Diceros bicornis minor: one gene and its partner. The protein of the gene in region 2 binds, or shares a complex with, the protein of the main gene of each other region. Links are inferred from orthologs where the notes say so. Each region holds a gene or a part of one and is shown on either strand. Other genes may lie near its edges.

Region 1 (15,302 bases), on a different chromosome or scaffold from region 2:
TTAACTCAAAATGGATCAAAGACCTGAAGGTGAGACCTGAAACTATAAAATCCTGGTGGAAAATATAGGCAGTACACTACTTGCCATCAGCCATAAAGGGATCTTTTTGAATTCCATGTCTACTCAGACAAGGGAAACAAAAGAAAAAATAAACAAGTGGGACTACATCAGATTAAAGAACTTCTACAAGGCAAATGAAACCAGGATCAAAATGAATAGGGAACCCACCAGCTGGGAAAAAATATTTGCAAACCATATATCCAACAAGGGATTAATCTCCATAATATATAAAGAACTCACACAACTGAATAACAACAACAACAAAAAAAACCCAATCAAAAAATGGGCAGAGGGGGGCCGGCCCGGTGGCGCAAGCGGTTAAGTGCGCGCGCTCCGCTGCGGCGGCCCGGGGTTCGCTGGTTCGGATCCCGGGCGCGCACCGACGCACTGCTTGGTAAGCCATGCTGTGGCGGCGTCCCATATAAAGTGGAGGAAGATGGGCACGGATGTTAGCCCAGGGCCGTCTTCCTCAGCAAAAAAAGAGGAGGATTGGCGGATGTTAGCACAGGGCTGATCTCCTCACAAAAAAAAAAAAAAAAAAAAAAAAAAAAAAAAAAAACGGGCAGAGGAAATGAACAGACACTTCTCCAAAGAAAATATACAGATGGCCAATAGGCACATGAAAAGATGCTCAACATCACTAGTCATCAGGGAAATGCAAATCAAAACCACACTAAGATATCACCTTACACCTGTTAGAATGGCTATAATCACCAAGACAAAAAGCAACAAATGCTGGAGAGGCTGTGGAGAAACGGGAACCCTAATCCACTGCTGGTGGGAATGCAAACTGGTATAGCCTCTATGGAAAACAGTATGGAGATTCCTCAAAAAATTAAAAATTGAAATACCTTATGATCCAGCTATCCCACTACTGGATATCTACCCAAAAAACCTGAAATCAACAATCCAAAGAGGCTTATGCACCCCTACGTTCATCGCAGCATTATTCACTATAGCCAAGACACGGAAGCAACCCAAGTGTCCCTCGACTGATGACTGGATAAAGAAGATGTGGTATATATATACAATGGAATACTACTCAGCCATAAAGAAAGACAAAATCGTCCCATTTGCAACAACATGGATGGACCTGGAGGGTATTATGTTAAGTGAAATAAGCCAGAAAGAGAAAGACAAACAGGTCAGAATTTCACTCATATGTGGACGATAAACCAACACACGCACAGATAGAACCGTTTGGTGGTTACCAGGGGCGGGGGGGTGGGTGGGCACAAGGGGTGGAGGGATGCAGTTATATGGTGACTGATAAACAATAATGTACAACAAAAATTTCACAATACAAAAAAAAAGAAAGGTGGAGGGAAAAAAAAAGAAATAGGGCAATATAGTATATGGTAAATGTCAAGCACAATCAATGCCATATAAGATATTTCAGATGAATTAAAGAACTAAGTGCTAAGAATGAGATAGCAAAAAAACAATACTAAGGAAATAATAACGAAAATAATTTCAGGGCAGGAATGATCTTTCCAAACATAAAAAAAGGGGGGGAAAAAAAAGAAAACAGATGCACAAATGCATACATAAAAATGTAAAGTTAGATTAAGTAAAATACTACACAGTACAGATTTCTAAATTTAGTGTAATCCCAATTTTAAAAGTAGAAATTATTTGCAAATCGAAAAAAATGATTTTAAAGTTATTTGAAAGAATAAACATGCAATACCAGCCAGAAAAATTCTAAAAAAGAAGAGCAATGAAGAGTTTCCTCTGCTTACTATTAAAACAGCATGTACCCAGGGCAGAACAGAAAGTACACAAAAAGACAAAGAAATATATAAAAGTTTACCATTTGATAAAAATAATACTTCAAACCACTGGGTAAAAAGAATGGATAACTCAATAAATGATGTTGGGACAACTAGCTAACCATCTGGAGAGAAAAATATTGGATTACCATTTCCCTTTTTTCAAACTAATTCCAGGTGGATTAATGAATTAAACGTAAAAAATATTTTTATAATCTTGAGTGCAGAAAGCCTTTCTAAGCATGACAACAAAGACAGAAATCATAACTGAAAAGAGTGACGGAACTGACTACATAAAATTTTAAAAATTCTGTAAAGAAAATCAAAAGAAATCAAAAGTTGGGAAAAAATGTAACATGTATGATACAGGGGGCTGTATTAGTTTCCTAGTACAAATTACCACCAACTGGCTGGCTTAAAACAACAGAAACTTATTCTCTCATGGTTCTGGAAGCTTAGAAGTCCAAAATCAAGGTGTCTTGCAGGGCCATGCTCTGCAGGCTCTAGGGGAGAATCTGTTCCGTGCCTTTCTCTCGTCGCCAGCACTCTTTGGTATTCCTTGATTTGCAGCTGCACAACTTCCATCTTTGCTTCCATTGTCACCTGGCGTTCTCCCTCTGTCTTCATGTGGTCTTATAAGGACACCAGTCATATTGGATTAAGGGCCCACCCTACTCTGTATGACCTCATCTTCACTGATTACATCTGCAATGACCCTAGTGCCAAATAAGGTCACATTCTGTACTGGGGGTTAGGACTTCAACATATCTTTTTGGAGGACCCAATTCAACCCATAAAGACTCTTTAATATGTAAGTAAAATTTACAAACTAGTAAGAAAAATAACACCCCAATAGGACAAGAACAGGCAATTCACACACACACACACAATATACAGATCTCCCCAATAAACATGTGCAAGATGTCTGGCTGTACTACATGCTGAGCACACTTTGACCTCCAACCTTACTAGCTGCTCCTCCTCCCCTTGCCTTCACCCGGGCTGGGTGCTGGATGTTCTTCCTCTTGTAGACTCTCATGTTAGATGATCTCATCCACGTCAATGAGTTTACTACAACCTATGTGCTAATGACACCAAATTTGTGTCCCTATTCAGGACTTTGCCCCTGGCCTCCAAACTCAGCACAAATATCATACCTGGCATCTCCAGTTAGCTATCCCACAGGCATCTTAAATTTAACACCTTCAAAACAGAACTCTTGAGTCTTTCCTCCAACTCTGTTCTTCCCCAAGTCTTCTTCATTTCAATGAATGACACCAACATGCATCCAGTCACTCAGGCCAAAACCAGGGCACCATTCTTGATTCCTCCCTTTCTCTCACCTGTTGATTTTACTTCCTAAATATCTCCCACATCCCTCCAGTCTCCTAGCCTGCACCACTACTCTAGTCTAAGCTACAATTATCTCTGGTCTGGACTACTGTAGCGACATTCTAGACTGATCTCCCTGATTCCAATTTTGTCCCCTTACAGTAAGGTGACTATATTTCTGGTTTAGGACAGTTCCAGTTTTCACTTGTTGCTTGACAATTTCTCCAGTTAGCACCCCCTTTCATACACAAAAGGATTCCCATTTGGATGATCAATTATATTGTCACCTTACCTTACAGTCTTTTCTTCTCACAGTAGCTAGTCACCTTTCAAAAACATAAATCAGATCACATCATTCCCCTGCTTAAAACCCTTCAAAGATTTCTTATTACACAGAATAAAATCCAAATTCCTTATGTGGTCTGCAAGGTCCTATATTACCTAGCCCACCCACTTCTCATCTCTTCCAACTCTGTCCTTCACTCATTCCATTCCAGACCCATCTGCTTTTTGATTCTTCCAATAAGTCATGCCCAAACTCACTTCCAAGTCTTTGTTTTTGCTGCACCCTTTGCTGCTACCTTATTCCCCTAGATCTTCTCGTAACAAATCTGTTCTGTCATTTGGGTCTCAGACTAAATGTTAACTCTTCCAAGAGGCCTTCTTTGAAAACACAATCTAATGTTCCCAACCTCATCCATGTTATATTGTTCACTTATTTGTTTATTGCTTGTCTTTCCTCACTAGAATGTAGGTCCATTGTTATCTTGTTTACCTCTAGTCCCCAGGGTCAGAGCATGTGCTCAATAGTATTTATTGAAAAAATGAATCACAACCAAAGAAAAAAATTCAAACATGACAGCTCATAGAATATGGCTATCAAATCAGTAAAGATTCAAAGAATAAAAATGCCTTATTTTTCTTCCTAACACTCTGTATATCACCTGACAATACGTTTATGTGATTGTTTACTGTTTGCTTCTCCCCAGCTAAAATGAAATCTCCATGAGCGCAGGGACTTGGTTTTGTTCACAGCTGTATTCTCGGCACCTACAAGAGTACTTGGCATATAGTAAGTGTTCAATAAATATTTACAAAATAAATTGATGATATCTAGAGGTGACTAGGTAGTGGAGAAAGGGATATGGTGAAAATATAATTGATGCACAACTTCTGTAGGAAATTTGGCAACACATATCAAAAGCCCTTAAAGGGGGGCATACCTTTCGACTCAGCAATCTCACTTCTAAGAGGAACTTATCCTAAACAAACAAATGAACAAGGCTACAAAGATTATTTATAAGAGAATTCCTCACTAGGTTGTCTATAACAGAGAAAATTTAGAAACACCAGCATGATATCCATTAATAGGAGATTATAACATAATTATACATCTGTACAATAAAATACATTAAAAATATTGGTGAAGACGTATTTATTAGTGGAAATACGATACGATTAGTGGAAAGAGATAAAAAGCACATTACAAGAAAAAAGCAAGCTAAAAAAACCACATATATAGCAAGACTTCATTTTTCCAAAAACATGTATGCGGGGACACATGGGTATGTACGCAAGCACACATGCATTTACAGATAAAAGTTAGACAGACATACATCAAAATGTTAACATCGGGGCTGGCCCGGTGGCGCGTAGTGGTTGGGTTCTCGCATTCTGCTTTGGCGGCCTGGGGTTCGTGGGTTCGGATTCCGGGCGCAGGCCTGCACACGGCTTATGCTGTGGCAGGCGTCCCACATATAAAGTGGAAGAAGATGGGCATGGATATTAGCCCAGGGCCAATCCTCCTCAGCAAAAAGAGGAGGATTGGCAACAGATGTTAGCTCAGGGCTAATCTTCCTCACTCTCCCCCAAAAAAGTTAACATTGGTTATCTTGGGCTAGTGAGATTAAGGACAATTTTAATTTTCTTCTTTATACATTTCTAAATTTTTTCTAATAGCACAACCAAAATTAATTGACTATCTGAACATGTTTCGCTTTAATAAGTGGAAAAGAAAAAGCAATAAAGATTATCGAAAACAAAGACACACTTCATCAACTTAATGAAGACTAAAGCCCAGATTAAGAACCAGGAATTCAGAAATGTCAACTACAGTATTGGAGATGGCTTTCTGATTTCCTGAATTCAAGCAAGTTGTCTCCCCTTTAGAGCCAATATTTGTAAAAAAGAAAAAAAAAAAATCTAAAACTTGTTTCTTTTATTTCATTGCTTGCCAAGCTGAAGAAGGTCAGGCCTGGCTGAGAAACAACACAAAGTCTAACGAAAGCTATCATTTATGCTGGGCATTTTCCTTGCATTGCCTCATTAAAAACCTGGTCCTGCCAGATAGGTATTACTGTTCTCAAGTGCAAAAGCTGAGAGGGGTGACAGAACTTGCTAAAGTTCACACAGCTGCTATGGGGGGGGGGGGGGTGTCCTGATTTGAACAGAGGTCTCGCTGACCTCAGGGCCTTCAGGAAAGGATAGACTAAAGTGCTTTAGGCTTTATAACCATGCAAGTCTCTTAATGCCTCTGATCATTTACATGGTTATCCTACCACCATTATCTAATTTGCAAGAAAAATAAAAGAACAAGCCTGGAGTTTTTAGAAAACTGGAGTAAGTATCTGGAAAAGCAAGATTTACCTTGGGTACTACTCTCTGGAACTTGCCCCTCATTTCTCTTCAACTTGAAAAAGCTCAAGATCAAAATGCTTGGTTGGGTGGTCATAGAGGAGGGGAGCAGTTTGAGAGTGCACCCGTGTGTGCGTGACGGACCACAACAGACACAACAGACTGGGTTAAGGATGATATCTGTGCATCTGAAGAAGGAAGCTGGACCAGGATGAGGGAAGATGGACAAGACCTAGGAAGAAAGGAAGCCAGTAGGAAGGATGAAGTTAAAGAGGGACTAAAAGAATGGGCAATAGGAAAGAGGAGGAATCAGGAGGAAAGGCAGTTGAGTTATTCTGCAGTATTTTTTCCTTCCACCTTTTTCCTCTCTATACTCTTCCCTGATGATCTCAGCCACCATTAGGCCTTAGACGCTCCTTTCTATTTGGATGATTACCAAATCTCTCCAGTCCTGACTTTTCTCCAGAGATCAATTTCTTTGGGCTGGACACATCCACATACATTTCCCATTAGCACTTTAAATCCAGTAGGTCCAAACTGAATGCAGCATCCCCTCAACCTCAAGCCTGCTCTCCTCTAGTAGTACTCACTCTCAATTACCAAACATCCACCCGAACTGCTCTCTCTCCCATTCCTTCAACCATTCTTTCATCCAACAAATATTTATTGTGGCTCTACTACATCCCCCACACTGCCGCAGCACTGGGTACATCCATTCACTTGCCAAGTTGGGTCACTTCTACCTTGTCCACGTGTCCATCTCATCTAAATTGTTTACTCAGATTTATTGAGAATCTCTCTTGCTTGAACCATGGTAACAGGGCACTATAGGTTAATTGGTTTTGCATGCCATTCATTCTATAGTGACCACCTAGCATTTAGCACTACACCTGAGACACAGAAGGGGATCACAGAGGGGGCTTAGGGACTACAAACCGGCTGGGAAGGGGATTGGAGGAGCAGAAGCGAGGAGATTTGTCTTGAAGGAGGATTTGCATATGAAGAAAGGTGTTTTCCTTAAACTGTGCATTACAGAGCTATACAAATAACATCAGGGTGATAATTCTTTTATTTCTGGGGTGTGGCTCTGGCGGGCTGGGAAGATTGTTGGAAGTCTGATGTTGAGAGTCTTCTGAGAGACTCTCACCCGCCTCCCGCCCCCTGAGTACTCAATAGCCACTTGTTGGATATATCACCTTCTATGACAGGGACCACGGGGGTTGTGTTCTCCATTGTACCTCCCCTGCCTCCTAGAACATCTGGCTCACAGTAGAGATTCAATAAATATCTATGGAGGATTCTAGAAAGGCAGGAACCATAGATGTTTTATTCACTACCTCAGGAAGAAGGACAAAGACTTAAAGAACCTAAGGGAAAAAGAAATGGTGCAAGATGTTTCCCTCCCTATTCCTTTAGAGCTTGGTAAGTGTTTGCTAAGCGAAATAAATCAGCCTCCTGCACAACTCCGAAATCCAGCCCCTCGCTCGGCCGCCAGGCCCTGGAGCGCGGCCACCATCTGGCCCAGGCCCTGCTGCCCTCCCTCCTAGCCCGGACTCCTGTTACCTCCCTGCACACACGTGTACCCACCACAAGCCAAACAATTACACGTTCCTGCGTCCCTGCCTCGAGGTCTGGGGCTCCCCGAGGACCCGCTGTCCCGGACCCCCAGCCCCCGCCCCCACCAAGGCTCCGGCCTGAGACTGCCGCCTGCCGGGGGCTCCGGCACCCCCGCACCGGGCGCTTCCATGTGCTCGCCGCCGCTCTCCAGCCGCAGCCCGCTCGGCCTTGAGCGCGGAGCCCGGAGGCCTGGCCGCCCAGCCCGGGCCCGCCGCGCTCCTCCGGGCGGGGAGGCCGGGAAGGCGGCAAGGCGGGAAGCGGCTGCAGCTGTGAGGTGCCAGGGGGCGGGCGGCGGGGGCGCCGGGGCAGCGGGCCGAGCGGAGGCGGCGCTCTGGCCGCGGCGGGGCTCGGCGGACGGCGGCTCGCTCACTCACCACCGTCCGGCGGGGCAGCGCGCCGGGGGTCCGGGACAGGGCCCGGCGGAGCCTCCGCGGCCGGACCGAGCGGGCCGCCCCGGAGCTCTCGGAGCCGCTGTCGTCCGAGATCACGATGAAGTCCTCCATGACTGCGGGCCCCGGCCGAGCCAGCGCGCGGGCGGCCGGCGACCCAGGCGGCGGCGACGGCGGCGACTTCGGTTCCTACTGCTGAGGCTGCGGCGGCGGCGACAACCGGGGCCATCCCCCCCGGCCCCGCCCCCGGCCCCGCCCTCTCCCGAGCTCCGCCCCCCGGCGGCCTACGGCGGGCTGCGGGCGGCGGGAGGGTCAGGGTCCCGGTCACGTGCTTGGCGGTGGTACCCGTCTTCCTTTCCCGAGGAGGAAAAATGAGAGAGAGAATCAAGTTGGAGCCGGCTTGGGCCGTGTTGGGGGCGGGAGTGCCAGACGCTGAGGCCTCAAGGGCTTCCGCATCTGCTTCCGACTGACTGAAGTGTGAAGCGAGGTGTCAACAGGTCTCTCTGACTGAGCTGGGAGAGAGGGGCCCTTGAGGGTGGGGGACCTGGCCTCCTACTGACGAGGTAGAGAGGCCCAGACCTCTGACTGACGGGGTAGAGGGGACCCCGGCTGACTGAGGGCGGATGGCCTGGCCTCTGACTGACGGGGTAGAGGGGACCCCGACTGACTGAGGGTGGGTGCCCCTGCCCTTGACTGACTGAAGGTAGGTGTCCTGGCCTCTGGCCGAGTTGGGGGAGAGAGGCCCGGCTTCTTTGTGCACATGTGCAAGTACGTCTGTAGGATAAACTCCTAGAAGTGGAATTACTGGGTCAAAGGCAATGTTTCTGTTGTTGTTTCGATAAATGATACCAAATTGCTGTCGTAAGTTGTACCAATTTACAGTTTCACCAACGATCTGTGTCACTGAGGAATTTAAACTGTGAGATTTAGAGACTTGTTCAGTTGGTAGCAGAAACTGAAAAATGCAGGAGAGAATCCATGAGGTAGCAGACTCCGTGAATAATTAGATGTTATGAATGAGCAAAGTTAAAAAGATGAAAAAAGATATACTCAGTAGAGGGAGAAGTGGTAGGTGGTTGGTTGTGGGGCAGGAACATTAAAATCAAGATAGGATCTGTGTTACAACAAATGTGGGGTATTGACAAAATCCTGCTGCTCAGGCTCCAGCAACTTGGTGAAATGTTTTAACAGATCCAAAGGAAAATGTGTTTATTAGAAGGGGGATTGGTTCCTAAAGGAATAGTTATCAGGTGCTATCTAGCAGTGTCTAGTGCAGTGATTCTCAAACTTTAGTGAGCATCAGAATGACCCAAGAGACTTGTTTAAAACACAGATTGCTGGGCCCCAACCCAGAGTTTCAGATTCAGTAGTTATGAAGTGGGTCCCCAAAATTTGCATTTCTAGCAAGTTCCCAGGTGATGTTGATGCTGCTAATCTAGGGACCACACATTGGAAAGCACTGGTCTGGTGGACAGGGAGTATAGGGCCAATAGATTTCAGATGTTCTGGTCGAATGGCTGAAATCATCCTTGTGAAAGGATTCATTAAGTTGTCTTCACTAAGTGCCATTAAACATTTAGTTTATTGAACTCCCTGCTTCTTGAAACACTGTTTTCTCTGGGCTTCTGTGACTGCACCTCTCTTACCACTTCTTTTCAGTCTCCTTAGCTGACTCCTGCTCCCCTACCCACTCCTTAGATCTTGATGTTCCTCAGAGTTCTGACATAGGTCACACATTTCTCCCTACATAATCTCAACTGTTCCCATGGCTTTAATGATAATTTTTATGCTGATATCTCCCACAGATTTATCTCCAGCCCAGCCCTGTCCTCAAAGCTCCAGATGTATATATCCAAATGTCTATTGAATCTCAGAAGCATCTCCAATTGAATATGTCTCAAATTGAACTTACTCCCCACTTCCCCCCTAAAAAAGCCTGCTTTTCCTTCTGTGTTCTCTGTGTCAGTGAGTGGTGTTACCAATAGCCAGCAATTGCTCAAGTGAGAAATCTGAGCATTATGCTTGATGTCTACCTTTTTCTCATCAATAAGTCCTATTTTACCTCCTAAATATTTCTTGTATTCATTCACTTCTTTTGGCCTCTGCTGTTATGATTCTAGGCAAGTTAAGATCACCTCTGGCCCAGTCTACTGTAGTAGCTTCCTAGCCAGTCTTCCTGAACCTATTCTTGTCCTCTTTCATTTCTTCCTCCACCCTCAGCCAAAGTTATCTTTAAGAAAGTATGTAATCAAGCCCCCTTCAGTGCCTTCCTAATACCACTTAGTCTGTGCAGGCTGCCATTACAGAATACCGTGGACTAATGGCTTAAACAACAGAAATTCATTTTCTCACAGTTCTGGAGGCTGGGAAGTCCAAGATCAAGGTGCTGGTCAGTTCGGTTCCTGGTGAAGACTCTCTCCTTGGGTTGCAGATTTCTCATTACTTCCTCACATGGCCTTTCCCCAGTGGGTGAGAGAGATAAATCTCTTCTTCTTATAAGGCCCCTAGTCCCATCATGAAGGCCCCATCCTCAAGTTCTAATCCAACCTTAATTACCTCCCAAAGGCCCCATCTCCAAATACCATAACACTGGGGGTTAGAACTTCAATATGTGAATTTTGGCGGCATGCAAACATTTCACACTATAAACTTCTAAATATGAATATATATGTATTTTTGTAGATTATATAAAGATTATATTTATATATGTAACACATATATGTATATTTATAACGTATTTATATATGTAACATATAAGTATAACATTTCACTGTAAGTAAATTTTACCTTAAAAAAAAGAAATGGAAAAAATTTTGAACTCTATGATATGCATGCTGTAGTGTTAAGGTGTGAAGTGTACTGATGTCTGCAAGTTACTTTGAAATGCATCAGAAATAAGATGGATAGCAGCGGGCCCAGTCGTGTAGTGGTTAAGTTTGTGTGCTCCACTTCAGTGGCCTGGGGTTCATAGGTTTGGATCCCAGGTGCACACCTACATACCACTCATCAAGCCATGCTGTGATGGCATCCCACATACAAAATAGAGGAAGATTGGCACAGGTGTTAGCTCAGGGACAATATTCCTCAAGCAAAAATAAATAAAAAATAAGATGGATAAATGTATAGATGGATACATACAGGTAAAGCAAATATAACAAAATGCTAACATTGTCAAATCTGCATGGTAGTTATATGGGTGTTCATTTTTAACTTTTATGTATATTTGAATGTTTTCATATTACGTTGAGAAAAAATTTAAAATTAAGAAAATTAATTATGATTTTACCTTGATTTTAAAAAGTTAAAAAAGATTATAATGAACCTTGTGTACCTATCATCCAGCTTGAAGAATTATCAATCTTGTTCTACTTATGTTTCCGCCTACTCTCTCACCCTCACCTTCCTGAATTATTTTAAAGTAAATCGCAGACATCAAATTGTTTATTCTGTAGACATTTCAGTTTGTGTCTTTAAAAGATAAGAAATCTTCATTCAACAAAGTGTTGTTGAGCACATATGCTGTACTCAAGGGACACAATAGTGAACAACATGGACGTGGTCTCTGATCCATGGTGCTTATAATTTATGGGGAAGACAAAAAACTAGTAAATAATTATAAATTATGATAAGTATATAACCAGTTTGAGAAGTCTTAACTTTTGAGATATAAATATAAAACAATTTAATTTTTTCCCCAACAACTATTACCACCCACTCTAGAAATCCTCTTGCTCTCTGGATAGCAGATTCCCTTAAGAATCTCCTACTCTGGTCGCATAACTGTGCAGTCACTTTCAGTATCTAATACAGTCTCATTCCAAGTATTTTGATTTAGGCTGGCCGGTTCTAATCTTTAATCTCATGTTTAATTCATAGCTCTTCCTGTTCTGCTGGTGCAGGAGGACTTGTGGCTGCAACAGCTTAGTGGAGGAGGTGGTAATGTCGTTTTCCTTCTCTCTTCTTGGCTCTTGCTCCTCCCAAGTAGGGATGAAGAGGAGGGAGAAAGAATGTTCTCTGCAAGACTGTCCATGAAAAGTTGTCTATTCTTTTTCTGCTGGTTGTTGTTACTTCACTAACAGTTCTCCCAATGTGTCAGGAGTCCAGATGCCAGCTCTTTTATTTGGACTGGGCACATTATTGCTCTCTGGGGCTTCCCTTGTGCATTCCCTAACCTAGGAGAGGTCAGTCTCAACCCCCTTCTCAGACATCCCCACCAGTCCTTGCCAGGGGCAATCTAAAATATAGCCTTTTGTTGTTGGGGATCCTTGTCTGGAGGGTCTTCTTGGGGAGTGCTAGCAAGAGCCTTAAGCCTCAGCCACCTTCTGTACTCTCCAGTAGACTCACACATGAAGAATTTACACGCATGATTCAAGGAAGAAGCGAAGGGAGGCAGCTCCCGTCTTGGTGCCTCTCTCTCAGCACCAATTATCTCTCTCCTTCCTTCCTTCGCCCCCAGGGGCATCAGGGGCTTGTCCAGGTCAACGGTTTGGTGACTTTCAGACAAGTTCTCAGCTTGCGGAGTGAGGAGAAGAAAGTTTGCTGCACTTTAAACTTGTAGGAAGGGAATGAGGGAACAAGTTGAATGGCCCCCATCTTCTTCAGCTGGGGAGAGGTAATGGATGGTGGCCATCTACAGTAAGTAATGTTCATCCATGGATATATGAATGAATTGGAAAGAAATTCAAATATCTACTTTTGCAGAATTTATGATAAAGTGATTAATATTAGTAACTGACTTTCAATCATAAAAATAGTGATATGACTTTAGGAATATAACAGTGTTCTGACTGTATATATCTTTCTCATCAGCCATCCTGCCTGAAACTCAGGAAACCAGGGTCCTGGTTGTGTAATATGAGTACACTTGAAATGTACCTTGTCCTTATTTGGCAGCCCAGATGGATGAATACTGGCCCTGAAGTTGCTTTTCGTAAAACAGTAAGTAGTCTTGATTTTGTTTTCTTGCCTGTCCTGGATCTGTTTTGAAATATGCTGTTTACCCAAGACTTCCAAAATGATGGTGTCTTTTTCAGAAATTAGTATGTGTGTGTATTTTTCTTTTCGTTTTTTCTGGGTGACTTGTCTTAATTTTTTTCCGGATTTATTGAGATATAATTAACATATAATATTGTGTAAGTCTAAGGTATACAATGTGATGTTTTGATACAAGTACGTATTGCGAAATGTTTATCACAATAAGGTCTTTTACCTCACGTAGTTACCATTTTGTTGTTGTTATGGCGAGAACAGTAAAGCTCTGCTCTCACAGCAACTTTCAAGTTTACACTACAGCATTATTAACTATAGACATCACGCTGTATATTAGATCCCTGGAACTTATTTATCTTATAATTGCTAGTTTGTGCCATTTGACCAACATCATGACATTTCCCCGACTGCCTAGACCCTGGTAACGACTATTCTATTTTCTGTTTCTATGAGTTCGAAGTTTTTATACTCCACATATAAGTGAGATTATACAGTATTTCTCTTTCTCTGTCTGCATTATTTCACTTAGCATGATGCCTTCAAAGTCCATCCATGTTGTTGCAAATGGTAGGATTTTCTTCTTTTCTTTGGCTGAATAATATTTGTGTGTGTATTTTTCAAGATGACATTTCCTCATAGATTTATTCCCCTCAAATCATACATTAATTCCATGTAAACTGAGAGGCTAATGCAGTCATTTATTCATCCAATGAATACTGTATTTACTGAGTACCTACTAGGTGCCAGGCACTTTGTTAGGGGCTGGGGATGAAACAGTGAGTAAGACAACTGTGGTCTCTGTCCTCACAGATCTTAGCAGTGAAGGAGGTATTCCTAGTTTGTGAATGAAGAAAACAAATCCTAATCCCTTACTTTCTTTTTTAAAAATAATTTTTAATTAAAAATGTATACATAAAAATATGTGGAGATGCAAATTAAAACCACAGTGAGATGCCATTTCATGCTCATTAGGATGGCTATTTAAAAAAAAACAGAAAAGTTTTGGTGAGAATGTGGATAAATTGGAACTCTTGTGCATTGCTGGTGGGGATATAGAATGGTACAGCTTCTGTGGAGAACAGTTTGGCAGTTCCTCAAAAAGTTAGACATTACCATATGATCCAATGATTCTAGTCCTAGATATTTGCCCCAAAGCTCTGAAAGCAGGGACTCAAACAGATATTTATCCACAAATCTTTTTTTTTTTTTTTTTTATAATTTTATTTATTTATTTATTTATTTCCTCCAAAGCCCCAGTAGAGAGTTGTATGTCATAGCTGCACATCCTTCTAGTTGCTGTATGTGGGACGCGGCCTCAGCATGGCCGGAGAAGCCGTGCGTCAGTGCACGCCCAGGATCCGAACCTGGGCCGCCAGCAGCGGAGCGCGCACACTTAACCGCTAAGCCATGGCGCCGGCCCTATCCACAAATCTTCATAGCAGCATTATTCATGATAGCCAAAAGGTGGAAATAATCCAGGTGTTCATCAGCAGGTATATGGATAAACAAGATGGGATATATCCACACAGTGGAATTCTATTCAGCCTTAAGAAGGATGGAAATTATGACATAAGCTACAACATGGATGAAACGAAGACATTATGCTCAATGAAATAAGCCAGTCACAAAAGGACAAATATTGTATGATTCTACTTATGTGAGGTACCTAGAGTAGACAAATTCATAGAGACAGAAAATAGAATAGAGATTATCAGGGGTTGGGGGAAGGGAGAATGGGGAGTTATTTAATGGGTATAGAGTTTTTGTTTGGGATGATAAAAAGTTCTGGAAATAGTAGTGATGGTTGCACAATATTGTGATTGTCCTAATGCCGCTGAACTGTATATTTAAAAATGGTTATAGTGGTAAATTTTGTGTATATTTTACCACAACAAAAAAAGTGAATATTTTCCTTTTATTAAAAAATTAAAAATTATAGGCAAGGTTAAAGGCTCCTTTGACCACCTCCTCCATCCTGATTCCAATTACCCCTCTTCAGTGCTTCGCGTTTACTTCTCTAGAGCTTTTCTGTGTGTTTATCTATATTCATATATGCTTATCAAAAGGGTGTATATTTTTAGTTTTATCCAAAGAGCTTCAGTATGGAGATTTGAAACCATCATTTGCTGTAAAAATGTTCTAAGCAAGAGGGCTTCCCACTTATTAATGGGGATTTTTTTTGGTGGATATACATCTTTAAAAGGTTTTTTTCTTTCATTTTTCTTTCTTTCATTATATGGCAGGGTCAGTGCCTGCAGACCCGCGTTTGTTTATGCTAAAGCTAGCCAGCTCAGGTTTCTCCTCTGCCCTAGGGAACACTCTGTCCCCACTGCTGGATTCCAGGTACAGTCTCCCAGTTTCGGTTCACTCTTAGCTTTTCCACTGAGCTGCTTTAGTAGGCAGCCTCTCAGTGTATTTAACTTTATTTAAATAATTTTCTTATCCTTTCCCCATTTCCATCTCAGGTTCTAGTTTGCTGAGATATCAAGTAGCTTTCAAAGTCTTTATA
Region 2 (15,017 bases):
ATGTTTGAATGTTACACTGTTCTATCTTCTAATTTAAAAAAAAGATAAAGATACTTTAAGAACTACTGAATTAACAGTAGCTGTTTGTTATTACGTATTGTCTCAACCAATAGATACTAAAACTACAAACTAATATACAGGTGTCCTTGAAATTTGATATTAAAAAGGGATCTTGGTATTTGAAATATTAGGAGACACTGTTTTGGATCATGATGTTTCAACCTTATACAAAGCATCTCTAATTCCAAGACCTCAGATAGTTAGTCCACAATTTCAAGAATATAAGATTATGCTTCTTAATGTAGCCAAGGATTCAGAAGTAGAACAATGACTACCAATATGAGAAACACATTGTTAGGAACTCTTGAAGAAGGCAGAGAAGAGTCAAGAAAAACCACAGGTTACATATAATAAATGCAAGGACTATTTCTTTTGAATATAACTTTACCAAACTCTTTACTATCTGAGATACTCAATTCACCGCTAGGAAGGAAACTGCATATTTAAACAAATTTGCTTTAAAAAACAGAGCCATTAAGATGTAAATTTATCTTAAAATTCATAAATTTAATTTTGATTCTACCTGAAGCAGGTTCCCATGAATCAGAAGAGGATCTTTTTCTTGAGAGATGTCCATTTTCCTATTAGCAAAATGAGAAAAAATATTAGCAAAATGAGAAAAAATAAGTTAGGAGTTAGGGGCAGTAAAAAAAGTGAACTTTTCTTCGTAACATTTAAACAGATTTCTAGACTGAATAAAGCAAGTACCTATATTTGAAGATAAATTCAAACTCCTATAACAAAATATTTTAAATTCTTAAGTTTTAGCATAAAAACGAAGGGCAATAAATGCAAGCGATTTATATTAATAATTCAAGATTAATATTATATTAGAGCAACGTACTATTATTTTGATAAAGAAATAGTAAGCCTAATATCTGCCAATCAAATGGATACAACTCACTTTTCAATACTTCTGTTTAAGTACTAATGCACCACCAAATACTGAGATCTTACAAAAATGGACCAAATATTACTAACCTCTATTGATCATTAGTAAATCTTGCTGCTAAAGGCACCAAACTCCTTGCAAATGAACTCTAGAGTTTACAAATATATTTTCCAGCAATATACAATGCAACAATCTCCATTCACTCCTAGAACATCATAGTTTGGTCTATTTTTGGCTATCTGGTTTTAAAATCTCATGGCATCTTATCAAAATAGCACTTTCTTGATATCTGATCTTCCTTTATTTGCTCTGTATATAGAACTCTTTGAAACAGACGTAGTTAACAACTTGACTTTCCAGGAGAGAGGAACAGCTTTTATGCTAACTTAAGTTTGGTCTATTCTCAAAAGAGAAATCTGATGTTGTTAAGATGTACTTGGATGGTTTTCTAAGTCATCTTCTGAGTTTTCTAAGACCCATATTCAATTATTTAAGATTTATATATAATCTAAACCACTGATTCTCAAACTTTAAAGTGCATCAGAATCATCTGGAAGGCTTGTTAATTGCAGATTGCTAGACTCTACTTCCACAGTTTCTGGTTCAGTGGGTCTGGGCTGGAGCCTGAGAATCCGCATTTCTAACAAGTTCCCAGGTGATGTTGACGTTGCTAGTCCAGGGACCACATTTTGAGAACCTCTGTGCTAAACCATTTCCTGCTGTTTTAGATTTTCCATTTCTCAAGTATCTCCCTTCAGCACAGCCCAATTAAAAAAATGACTATACCTGTCTTAAAAAAAGAATGCTTACTTTCCTGTTTACGAAAGATCTTTGTTCTTGGTCTGAAAAAATCAAGGGCAGGAAATACTGCTTTACTGAGTTCCATGGACAGCTGGAAGAAACCTAATGAAACCAGCTTCTACACAAACTATGTATCAGTATTTCCTTAACAAAAGATACTAATATGATGTCACCAATTATTAAATATTTTTACATTTAGTATTTTAAATATGATAAAGCAGTACCCAAACTAATTCAGTAATTACTGCACTTACCAGGTTTGAAAGATTACTCTTTCCGGGTGTGACATCATTCTGTTTACTTTGTTCCTGCCGAGGTTTACATTTTCTTCCTATACTAGAGGATTTTAAGGAAAGATTGCTTGCTTCTGAGAGAGAATTTTCTGAGTTGATTCTCTGCTCCATTTGCTCCCTTCTCAACTTCTTTAGTTCTCTTTCTTTGCAGTAACAAGCTAGTGACCACTGGAACTTAGCTCCCAGTGGGCTTTCTCCTGGGTGGTGCCTGGATAGGCTGCCCCTGCTGCTAAGACTTCTGGAGCTGTTCTTGAAGATGTCAGCTTCTGTCACCGTGGCCTGCTTTTTGGAATCTGCATTGTTCTTGCCTCGATCTCTATCATTCTTCTCCCTGCTATTTTCATGAATGATCAGTGACTTCCTTCTCTCTGGAGAGCGATGTTTTTTCTTTAGTGCCTTCATCTCTTTTGATGAGCGATAGGAAGGAGGAACAAAGACCGTCTTTGGGTATTTGGTGGCTAGTGACACATAAAGCCGATGTGACTCATGTATACCACGATCTTTGTGGTGCTCTTTAACACCTTTCATGAAAGCCTCTAAAATAGGGCTCTTTTCTGATGGCATCCTTTTGGGTTTAGATTCTTTCGGTGAAGATAGTTTCCTTTCAAACTGCTCTGTTCCAGTGGTGGACAATCCACTTCCTCCATATTTGATACTTGATCTTTGTGGAGAATCCAACATATGTCGGTCTAAGGAGCCAATTAAAACACATACAAACTGCATGTTATTAAAAATAACACAAACTATTACATTGTGTATAAATATTGCAATTATTAATATTTAAAATACTATCACAAAAATTTTCAAATCAATATTTAAATGATACATTTTATGGGGGGGAGAAATTAAGACATGGTTTATTTGTTAATAGCCTTACTTTCATAAAGCTCCCTTTTGCTACATCATGTAAGCTCCCCATGGCTCCATTTATGAAGTTATTGTATTAGAGGATCAAAATAGTATGCATTATGAACATTATTGACTGGAATAATAAATATAAGAAAGCATAACAGCAAAGAGTTTCTTCATGATGTTTAGAACTTGTTTATCCTTGTAAAAAACACTGCATCTTCACTGTATTTTCAATTTTCAACACGTTTAATCAAATTAATAAGAATTTAGAGTAGATTTAAAAACTGAATCCATCTCCCTCCCCAAAAGATGCCACAAAAAATGCATTAGTAGTATCCATACCTTGTTTTGAGGCTGGTTTGAAGAAATCTATAATTGACTGCTTCCTGAAAATAAAAGCATAACTAATAGGGTATCACATACGCAAATATTAAAACCTTATTTCAGATTAAGTGGAGAATACTAGTAGATTTATAGACTATAGGCTGGATTTCACTATCTGGTTTAATCAAGTTCTGACAATGGCAATAATGCTTTGCTAAGCTGATTATAAAAAATTGAAAATATAATTCATTGTAGGAGTAAATTTATAAAAGAACAACTGAGGTTTATATAATCTATAGTACTAAAATGATAAGATAGGAGTATGGATCCAGGGAAGTGGGAGAGTGCTTCATAGGACTGAAAAGCTTGCGGTCACACAGTAGAATAAAAGATATTGAGGGGATCTGATCCTATTCCTTCATATCTCCAGTGACTGGTACAAAATAATGCTCAATAGATGTTTGCTGCAAACTCATAACAAGATTAGATGGTAGAATGGCAATACGAGTGATTTGGCCGGTTTTGGGGAGGCAGCTGAAGAGTGTGCTGGGCAAAACGCAGAAAGGATCAAGTACTAAGCTTATACTACCCTCTTTATACACTACAGTGAGATGTTAATCCAAGTAACAGCAGAAATTGGAATGAGTCTTCACAACTAAATAAGCAGTGTTTCAAAATCTTAACTTTTTACCTAAGAATTCTTAAGATATTTACAAAAATAATGCATTGCCTGGGGAAAACAAAGAGAAAAAGAAGAAAGTTAACAAGAACAAAAACCAAATTCTTTTAATTTTCAAGGCTTTCTGCACCCTACAGTGGACACAAAGTGCAATAGGACCATATTACCAGAGTTTGTATTCTGATTTGTTCATGTATTTAATTTTTCAGATGCATAAAGAGGGATGTTATTACATGTAGAGCAAAAAATTAACTTTCGGGCAAATTTTGCTAGTATTCCTTTTACTGAAAGACAATAAACGGTAGACTATGAGGTTCCCTAAACATTTACCCACCACGAAACACTCAGAGAAAAGAACAATCGAAGTCCCTTGAAGGTTGAAGTCCCTTCCACATTTTGTACACTCTACTGGTAACATTAGAAGAGCAACGCCCATCTCGGATGGTTTACTCAGAGTCCACAACGTTTGTTTGAGATGTTGTTAGAAAAGCTAAGTGGTTATGAAATGAATAGGAGTGACAGGCTAAGGAAGAATCTATGCTTTGTTTTCAGAAAATAAATTATATCAAATTAACTCCATGAGAGAGTAAATGAGGAAACGCTAGAGGTTCTGCAAAGGGGAGAAGGATGATGCCCTTCAGTTATTGGTTGAGGAAGGTGAGATAGGAGAGGATTAAGCAGCAGCTAATTAATTCCACACAAGATAATACTATTTTTTACATTAATTACTAAAAGTAACACTATCTCTCTCCTAAAATATTAGATCCCAGGCTCCTTTTCCATTAATACAGCAGAGGAAAAAATGGTTTTGGATAAAACATACAAGAAATCTGTAAAATAAGCATGAATGTAACTTTCAAGAAGGAACAGTTCCCTAAGTTCATATGTACAGAAATGTACATTACTTATATTTGTAACTAGTTAAAAAAATTATTTGTAACAGCTCATAAACCCTTATCTGAAACTTTTGGGGCCAAATGTGTTTTAGAATTCTGAATTTACTGGATTTTGGAATGGGGGTTTCTTAGATGCATTATGTAAAATCCCCAGTGGGGTCTAACACTGCACCCCGTAAGCAAAACTTATGAGCACTGACACTTAATGGGATAAAGACCATATACAGTCTTCCATTAGTTCTAGTCAGGTTTGGCTGCCAGGTAAGATGTGGTGCCAAACTTACTGAAAACTTTTGGTTTTCATAGCTTTCTGGCTTTCAGAATTAAGATAAGGGACTGCGGACCTGAACCACAATATTAGAAGATAAATTTAGTCTTAAACTTATGTTACAAAGTTTTAAACTTAAAATAAAAAAGACAGTACCAAGTGCATAGAGAATTTAAACATGTTTTATTGTCAGAGGATGTCATTTGATGAAACTCCCCATCTCATTACATAGCTCCCGCAAAATCTGTACAAAAAAAACTGGCCTCTCGGAGAGGCGTCAAGTTACCGAAGGAGAAAACATACCACATTCCAAATCTGCATGTTCTTTTAACTATGCGTACCGTGTATAGTGGACTATACAGTAATTCGTAGAAGGGTTTTCCTCATCACCTCTTATGTAATTTCACCCATAATACAAAAAAGGTTTCTATTATTCAACCACTAGGCTCAGTACAACTGACAACGTACAGAAAACCACCTAAATATGCATTCAGCAGTTAGGGCCCCCGGTCCAGCTATCGCCCGGGACAAGAACCACGTTCTACCTAAGGCAGTTCTCGGTAGCCGTCCCGGCTGTGGTCATTAGACCGAGAACAGCGTCCCAACTACGAGAAGGAAACTCGAACTCCCAGAAGCCCCCGCGCGGAGGCGGGGCAGGGGTTTGCCAGGCCCGGAACGCCGAGGCCCGAGCTCGCAGAGGATGGCGGGAACTGGAAAAGCGGCCGTCCGCAGTCCTCCCTCATACCCTTGCCCCCGCGACCCGGCCCCTCCTCAAGCCCTCTGCACGGTACCTGTCCCCAGGACTCTCTGTTCTCTTTCCCGCTGCAGCAGGGGCGGTACTACCGGGTCTCAGATGGCAGCGCGGGGGCGACGACCCCGGGGCTGGGGATGAGGGGAAACCTGGCCTAGCGGACATGCAGCGCCTTGTCATGTCGGCGCCGCTGGCGACGGCGGCATGAGCTGTGGCTGGAGAAGTTGGGTGCGTGGTTGCCGTCTTGCTGCTGGGACTCGGGGAGGCTGTCGGAGCAGAGGTGGGCGGCACCCCCTTCTCTCTTCATGGCGGTTCCCTCTCTTCGGAAATGACTCCTGTGTGAGCGGGAAGGAACCCGAGGACCAACAGGGGGCGGGTCTTGCTAGAAGAGTCTGTTCTGATTGGCTGGCGTGGCGGTCATTCCAGTAGTGGAGCAATAGAAAGCCGCAGCCTTTCAGGGGAAGGCGGGGTTTCGGGAAGGGGGAGGGAGGAAGGAAAACTGCCCTCCCGTCACGTGCGCTGGGGGCCGCGCGCCGCCGCGTCCTGGCCGCCTCTGTCTTGGCCGGTGCGCGAGGGCGGGAAGGCGCGGGTTGCCGTGGGCGCTGCGGCAGCTGGCGACACCCGCCTGGTCAAGGGCAAGGGGCGAGGTTTGCAGAAGCAAACCCGAACCCAGCAGCTGCCCTCAGCGAGGATGGCCAACAGTTGGGCTTCCTGTGTCACACAATCGTGCCTCAGAAATCCCCAGCTGTTCATTACATCGTGTCCTTAACATCTTAGGCCGAAGTGCCCTAATGCTGTCACCATTTCCTCGGTGGTCTGCACGGCCCAATTTGAAGACTTGTCCATTCTGTGAGATTTCTTGTTAAGTGCTGCAGTGGATTCTTTTTCTCTTTTTAGAAGGAAAAAAAACCCAAAAAAACCCTTGAAATAAAGACTGTTTTGATTCCACAAAAGCATTTTGTTTCTCAGCTGCTGAAACAAGTTATCCATGAAGTCTCTGCAGCCAGATTCCTTGGAGATTTTTGAAAGGAACATAGGGTCAGCTTTCAATTGCTCATGTATAAGTGTGGACCACATAGACTAGTGAAAGCCAACAGCAGTCTCCAATCTTCCTTTGTAAAGGGGTTGTGCTCTGGAGGCTGTTAGCCAGGGTTTTCCTTACAAAGACTGATCAGAGTATCTCTGAGCCTCAGTTTCCACATCTATAAAATGGGTATTCTACTTTTCTGGGTAATTGTAAACCATAAAAGAGTTAAGCAATGTAAACTGCACAGTTCAGAGTCTCTTGTGTAATAAGTACTGAGCAAATTAGTGTTCCCTTTTCTTAGTTCTTTAGACAGACTCTTACACTTGAACTTACTGCAAGGTCTTCCAGAGACAGGTCAGATACTGTTATAGTAACTATTAACCAAAATATCAATCTCATGGATGTCCAAGCTTTAATTGGCAGGCCTGTTCAATCAGTTGGATGGAACAAAATCTTAAATGACACAAAAGAATTTAGACAGGTCTTTAAAGTTTATTGTACTGAGATTTAACTGCTTCCGTAGCTAAGCATGCCTGACTGACCTGAAGTTTACCTCCTTTCCTTCCCTTTTAGCCCTCAGGAGGAAGAATTAATGAGGAATAAAATGGCCAACAAGGTGGCAAAGTGGAGGGTAGAAGGTAAACAGTGAACATACAGGTCTCTCATTCATCCAAAAAGCATATATGCACAGCTATATCCTGGGTAGTAGTGATGCGAGAAAGGAAATACTAAAATAAGAGGTATTTTCTGTTCCTAATAACTGAGAAGTTACTGTATCTACCATTGTTCCTTACATAGACCGTAATAGATGCTCAAAATGTGTTGAATAAATAATAACTTAAACGTTTGTTTATTAAGGGCTTTTTACATATATTATTTCCTATCTCTTGTATTAGAGCTTTCTGCTGGATGTTTCCACACTAGTAAATTCCTGCTTCTATAACAGCACATCTACAAAACATTTAATCTGATTCGTTTCATTGCATGCTCAGTCCATAAAAAAGAGTAATGCATAAAAACATGTTCCGCATGATCAATTAGTTGCTTTTCTTGGATTATAGTATTTGAATCATCCAGCATCCAAGATACCACTTTAAAGTCTGTAGTCATGCTGCCAAACAATGGTTTTCACATTTTCTTAATCTGAGCAACAGATTATGGAGTTAAGTGAGGCAAGAAATCCCTTGATCAATAAATGGAGATGGAGGCATAATGAAAACACAATTTTAAAAATCTCTTCTTAACAGGGAAGTAGTTATCTAAATCCTCAGTATCAAGGCTCTTCTTTGTTTAAGCTGCGTTTGAAAATGATACAGATTTGGGTTGCATGGTAAAATATGCTCAACATACTAACCAGAATTGCGGGGAGCCTCTAAGGCTTTTCCCCCCAGAGTGTTGGACAGTCTATTTTGTGTTTATACCCCTTTTCCCACTTTGAATGTGTGTGTATATATATATGTGCACCACACACACATACACACACACATGGTTAATGTAAGAGCTTTTTACACGTTAATTTTTAGTGGGCCAGAAATAGATGGCCAGGAAGCTGTACACTAGGTGAAAGATGTTAAAGAGCTCAGGTATTTGCACGTGGGGAGACGAGCGGAGAGAAAAACTGGGGTGGGGCTAGAAGGAGAGGATGATGGATAAAGTAGACAAGACTGAATTAGAGACAAGACAAAAACTTCAGCCAGGATTGGAAAAATAATTTGGAGAAATTAAGGTCAGATGACCAGAAAAGGCTAGTTTGAGAAGATTTCTGGGCCTGGGGAGCAGGAAGCAAAGACCACTGAGATGGAGTGGCTTCTATGCATGAAGCTACTATGGGGTAGTACCATAGTACCTAGTTTAGCACCCTGAGTTGTTAAAGACAATAGGAGCGCCAACTCTAGCCTTGATGGGAAGGGATGCAGCAGCAGCGGAAACAATGTTACGTGAAGGACAGATCAGGTTTGCTGGGAGCCTCAAGGCCACCGTGGGAGTCCTGAGAGGAGTGGCGGTATAACTGATGCCAGAGATCGCAAGCAGTCACCAAGAGAGAAAACAACTTGGGCAGATTGTCTGGCAGAGTACCTTAGCAGGCAGGGACTAAGAGAACAAAAGATTAATAAGTTACAAAGAATGTTACTAAAATGCAGGGAACTCTAAAAGTAACTTCTGATTCTGCAGTAATGACGCACTTTTGCTCTGTGATTGCTATAAACTCCAAGGCTTTTGTTGGAGGGTGCTCTAGGGCGGGGGGGAGACAAAGATGGGTTTGCTGCAGAGCAGCCTGCCTTTGGCCAAGAGTGTGTGTGTGGAGGGGAGGGTAGAGGGTCACCTGGGAAGGGGGATAAGGAATAGACTCAGAGAAACAGGAAATAATTAACTTGAAAGCCTAACAGAGAAAGACGGACCACGTGATGATGTTAAGAAGGGAAGGCAAGCTCCAGAGTCTCAAGGTCTGCACAAATTACTTTGCAAATGGATGCCGAACTCAAAACTGCCCTACAAGTGCTTGGAAAACGCACTGGCTTGGTTTTAAGGGGTTGCTGGGGGAAAGCCAAGTGTAACATAAAGTAATGTTATGTAACCTAAACTTCCTGGGAGTAATTAGTAAAACTGCAAAAGCAGATCTGATGTTAAAGGAAAGTAAGTTTCTTGTTATTTCATTATGGAATGGTGCAAGATAATGTTTCCCACACTTTAGAACATGACTAATGTATTTATGATTTTTGACATACCTGAATATTTCCTATACTATTATTTACTTAATATTTTTCTTTAAATCACTTTTTAAACTTAAATACATTTTTAGATGAAAACTTAAAATCATTTCCGTAAGTGGAAAATCAGTATCACTTGGAAAGTGATAACTTGCCAAATGGAAGGTGTGTAGAAACTAATAATAACTAGAAAAAAAATATTGCCACATTTCTTCTAGAGTCATCTTGTTTACTAGTGGTGGTAGGGATAGATATTACTCGTACATCTGAAATATAAGAGACTCTTTGGGAAATATTGGTTTTAGGGACTCCAGCCTGTAATCAGGTGTTTTTTACACATGGTTAGCAACCTATTAGAGGGTTTTAAAATTGGTATAATGGGCCACAGACCACATTGGAAAAAAAAAAAAAGAATAGAATAGACAATATTGGTGTACTGCACATAGTATATGGGTATGTGTTGTTTTGCAAAACTTACTTCTTCAGTTGTATATATATTTTATACGGTAGTGATGTACATATACTGTGATGTATATATATGTAGATATATTCTGTGGCCTCTGTCAGAGGCAGTAGTCGAAACATTTGAAAGTCGTTGCTGTAATCTGTATTCATATTTCACACTTCTGTGTATCAGTGGCATTAAACAGCAGAAGCTGTTTGGGGCAAAAGAGATGGGCTTCCTTTGGTCACTCCTACTGGTGGGGAGGGTGGGAGAGACATAACTCAGGCTCTCCTTATGCTCTTTTAATGCCATACCCTCCAGGAGTGGGAGAGACTTGTAGAAGGAGGCAGACTGTTTCTCCAAAGAAGCTTGCCTTTACCCCTCCCATGCTATAATTGCTTCTAGATGGGGAAGAGTAGTTGCGGTGGCCCTGTCAGGTCCTGCCCTGTCCTCAGTAATGTAGGGACTGTGAGTGAGAAATGAGAGAGAGGGGAGAATGATGCAAAAAAGGATAAAGATCTTATATCTCTTGTCCAACCTGCCCCTCACATAAAACCCCACTACCCTGGAACTGGAGAGAGTCTGCTGGGAATAATACATTTAATCTCAGACATTTGCAATACTCTTCCCAGAATTCAACACACCTATCATGACCCATACGTCCTTTCTTCACTGGGCTCTGACCTGATTCTTCAGAGTCATTTCCTACCACCACTACCCTTAAGCTGTAAATTTCCACAACACCAAAATACTGAACCTCTATGTGAGGCATGATAAGACGGCCTGCTGAAGATGTGTTTCTTTTAGTTCCCAAAGAGTTTTTTAAAGATGTGGGGCAACATTTGAAAATCAAGAGATTTCACACACAATTCTAGATTTCTGGCCTCAAGACATCCCAAGAGGGGTCTCATGCTCATGCCAACAGGGCCTAGGTAGATAATAAAGGTATGTGAATCAGGTCCATTTCCCTATCTTTTACGGAGAGTTGAGATCAGAGAAATATTTCTTAACAACAACAATGACAATGATGGCAAATACCTATTGGGTCTTACCAGGGTCAGGCACTGTTCTGAGCACTTTATGATCACTGAACCATTTAATCTTCACCACATTCCTACAAATTAGGAAATGGTGGTGTTTGCTCAGTTTACACAAGAATGATGATAAATGGTACCTGGAACTCAGCCTCAGTGAGCAGAGAGGTGGACTGTGGGAGAACCGGAGGGCACATTCCCCATTAAATGGGGACAGCATCTCCAGGCCATAGTTTCTATGTGGGAGTGTAGGCCCAGTGTTTCCTCCCTTCTTTCAGCGTCAAACCCCAGGAGTGGTTGGGGGGAACACGACACAGACCTGCAGGAGGAACCTGCAGCCTCCTAGTTGAGCTGCCTAGATGTTTTGTTATGTACCCTCACATTTGTTTCTATACTTCTGTGAGATTATGCTCTCTTAAAGGGAATGTCTCTTGGAACCAAAAGAATTGCAAAGAATGAGTGCTTTTGGTGTTCAGAGGAGTGTTACAGGGAGTAGGCAGGATTCTCACTCAGGCGTTCTTAGTGAAAGAAATTGCTGATCAAGACCTGCGGGCATTTAACAATCCAGCCCTGATGGCCCAGTGGTTCAAGTTCAGTGCACTCCACTTTGGTGGCCTGGGTTTTGTTCTGGGGTGTAGAACCACACCACTTGTCTGTCAGTAGCCATGCTGTGGTGGTGGCTCACGTAGGAGAATAGAAGGACTTACAACTGGAATATACAACTATGTACGGGGGCTTTGGGGGGAAAAAGAAAGAGAAGAAGATTGGCAACAGATGTTAGCTCAGGGCGAATCTTTCCCAGCAGAAAGAAAAAAAAAAAAAAAGATCTATGGGCATTGAAAAGGACCAAATGCTGGTATGTATCAAAAATATAAAATGTGCATATCCTTTGATCCAGCAATTCCCCTTCTAATGTACAGAGACAGATCTATAACGGTATTCATTGCAGCACTGTCAGTAGCAAAAGACTGAAAGGGAACTAACTAGTCCAGCAATAGAGGACTAGTTAATAAATTATGTCACATCCATACAATACTGCAGTTAGGAAGTCTGAGTTAGATATACAGGATGTGTTGTGGTTAAATGTGCAGGCCCTAGGGTCCTACTGCCTGGGTTCAGATTCCAGCTCTGCCATTTAGCAGATTTGTGACCTTGGGCAAGTTACCTAACCTCTCTGTGCTACTGTCCTCATCTGTAAAAGGAGATGATGATAGTACCTGCCTCATAAATTTTTGTGAGTTTTAAATAAGTTAATACAAGTAAAGCTCTTAGAACAGTGACTGGCATATAATAAGTATATGGTTTAGCTATTGTTACTTGTTACTGTGACTTCGTTAAATTAACATTTGTTAAGTAGAGCCGTGGGATGTTGGGTGGTGAGCCCACGGTCAACAAAAGACCACAAGGGAAATTGAAATAGAGAAGTTTATTACTCACAGGTCCTGGAGAAAGTACATGGTATGCCTTGAGGGGCCACATGGGGAGTTCAAGGCAGGGTGCAGGCAGAGAGATAGCTGCAGGACCTGGGGCACATGGCTTTACTAGGGTCCATGGATGGAGTGCTTCAGGGTAACTGGACTAAAGCTTCATCAATTCAAACCAAAAAGAGCCAGGTTTTGGTAAGCTCTGCAGGGGTCTTATTAAGGAGTGCACAAGAAAAAGGCCCTGGCAGGCAGGGTGAGACTGTTGACCACAAGGGCTGTTCCAGGAGTTATATCAGAAAGTTACATTTACTTGTGACTCTGCAAGTTGTTATCTAGGCATGCACTTGGGAGGGCTAGTGTCAGGTCAAGGCCCCTGCAGGCTGCTTAGCCACACAAAAAATAGATGCCGAGGCAGCAATGTTAGTGTAGCTGAACTCTTGACACGTGTTAACAATATAAACTGGTATGGAATAATCTCTAAGATATAGTAAATGAAAAAATTAAGTTGCAGAACAGTATATGCTACAATGTATACATATATTGTTATTGTTTGTATAAATAAAAGGGGTTATGTGCGTGTATATGCCAAGACTATCTCTGGAAGGATGCTGTGCTTTCCAAGTGACTTCTAACTGCAGCATAGTATTCTACTGTAGGGATGCGCCATAATTTACTTAAGTAGTCCCTATTGCTGGAATAGTTAGTTCCCTTTCATTCTTATGCTGCTGACAGTGCTGCAATGAATACCTTTATATATCCATCTTTGTGAACATAGAAGTACATCTCAAAGATATATTGGGAAGGGAATCCTGGGTCAAAGAACATGTACATTTCATATGTATATATAAATATATATGAATAAATTTAGTGTATATATATATATATATTATTTTTTTGGTGAGGAAGATGGGCCCTGAGCTAACATCTGTTGCCAATCTTTCTCTTTTTGCTTGAGGAAGATTGTCCCTGAACTAACATCTGTGCCAATCTTCCTCTATTTTATATGTGGGACGCAGCCACAGCATGGCTCGATGAGCGGTGGGTAGGTCCACATCTGGGATCTGAACTTACGAACCCTGGGCTGCCAAAGCGGAATGCATGAACTTAACCACTACACCACTAGGCCAGCCCCACATTTTATATTTTTGACAGACATTGGCCATTGGTCCTTATAAGTGTCTGGCTTGATCATAGGTAAAGCAGCTCATAACAGTGGTTGCCTCTGGAGAGAAGTTTTCCCCTATTTGTGAAATTTATATTTTTACCACGTTCATATATTACTTTTCCAAAGAAACATATATCTCTGTATCTATCTATCTATCTTAAAATAAAAGGACCAATGGTTTTAGATGAAAAGTTACACTGTTAGAGTAATTGTTTTCAATGAAGACCTTGCCAGATAGCCTCTGGTATTTCTGTTAGCCTTTGCTCATTTCTCCTTCATCTCCCTTCCAAAGGACCTCATCACTGACACCTCTACCTGGTTCCTACTTGTGGGCACTGTAGCAGCCATTAAGTTATGTTACCTGACAAAGGATTTGGTAATACAAACATCTGTTAGGTTCTCAAACTCAATGCGTCTTAAACATAACTTGTTATCTTCCCCCCCTAACCTCTGAATTTGATGCTCTCTCCTCCTATACTTCTTATCTCAGTGAATGGTGTCATCATCTCCCCTCACCTGTCACCCGAGCCAGAAACCTGGGAGTCCTACTAACCCCACCCCTCTGTCACCCTCAGCATCCACCTGTTATCAGTCACCAAATCTTAGTGATTTTATACCCTAAATATCACTTGTATCCTTTCTTCTCTCTCTCTCTTTTTTAAAAACACATAGCTCATTCCTTTTTATTACTAAATAGTATTCCATTGTATAGATTCACTACAGTTTATCCATTCACCTACTGAAGAACATATTAGTTCCTTCTAGTTTGGGACAATTCTGAATAAAGCTGCTGAAAACATTCATGTGGAGTTTTTTGTGTGGGCATAAATTTTTAAGTCAGTTGGGTAAATATCTTTAAGTGCAATTGCTGGATTATATGGTAAGACTGTTTTGCTTTGTAAGAAACGACCAAACTAACTTTCAAATTGGCTCTACCATTTTGTATTCCCACCAGAAATGAATGAGAGTTCCTGTTGCTCCACATTTTGCTAGAAATTAATATTTTTATTATTTAAAAAATTTAGCCATTCTAATTGGTGTGTTTCCTTTATTCTCTCTTAAAAATACATGCACGCACACCCATATTTCATTCTTTTTAGAAATGTAAAAGATATAGACAAATACAAATAATAATATTACAAACACATATTCACCACTCCAAACTCACAGCTGTTAACATTTTGTCCAGTTACTTCTCCTCTTTTCTGGTCTTTTTGTTTTTATAATAAAACATTACAGCAGTGGCTAAGTCCTTTTTAACTGACACCCCAGTTCAATTTGCCTCCCCCTACTATTGTGCTTTTCAAGTCCACACGTTCTCCATGCCTCAGATTCCTCATTTTTTACATACATGTGTATCTAGTCATAAAGAATTTATCGGATTATTTTGTATACGTT

The links.
Region 1: the proteins of SLF2 (region 2) and SIMC1 are in contact, whole or in part, in a cryo-EM structure (PDB 7T5P), measured with the Homo sapiens proteins. The link is inferred for Diceros bicornis minor from reciprocal best matches to the Homo sapiens genes SLF2 and SIMC1. Residues at the interface, in NP_060591.3 of Homo sapiens: His738, Val772, Leu775, Lys778, Asp783, Phe786, Gln790, Gly791, Phe792, Thr794, Ser795, Ala796, Tyr797, His798, Tyr799, Cys820, Ile821, Gln825, Ser828, Met831, Glu832, Ile835, Arg836, Asp838, Thr839, Ser841, Asp842, Ser843, Pro847, Lys919; in NP_001295125.1 of Homo sapiens: Tyr426, Arg428, Leu431, Lys435, Leu438, Pro440, Val442, His443, His444, Leu445, Phe447, Gln448, Arg470, Arg471, Phe490, Asp493, Pro497, Val521, Asp522, Lys525, Glu526, Tyr528, Met529, Met532, Lys533, Gln536, Leu537, Arg571, Asn658, Gln661.

Annotation. Positions count from the first base shown.
Region 1 is NC_080740.1:89,505,843-89,521,144, reverse strand, and holds the start of SIMC1 (SUMO-interacting motif-containing protein 1), read right to left. Parts: upstream 7,987-15,302; 5' UTR 7,919-7,986; coding exon 7,790-7,918; intron 1-7,789.
Region 2 is NC_080745.1:66,117,206-66,132,222, reverse strand, and holds the start of SLF2 (SMC5-SMC6 complex localization factor protein 2), read right to left. Parts: upstream 6,133-15,017; 5' UTR 5,997-6,132; coding exon 5,857-5,996; intron 3,285-5,856; coding exon 3,241-3,284; intron 2,736-3,240; coding exon 2,008-2,735; intron 642-2,007; coding exon 584-641; intron 1-583. UniProt on the Homo sapiens protein: Plays a role in the DNA damage response (DDR) pathway by regulating postreplication repair of UV-damaged DNA and genomic stability maintenance.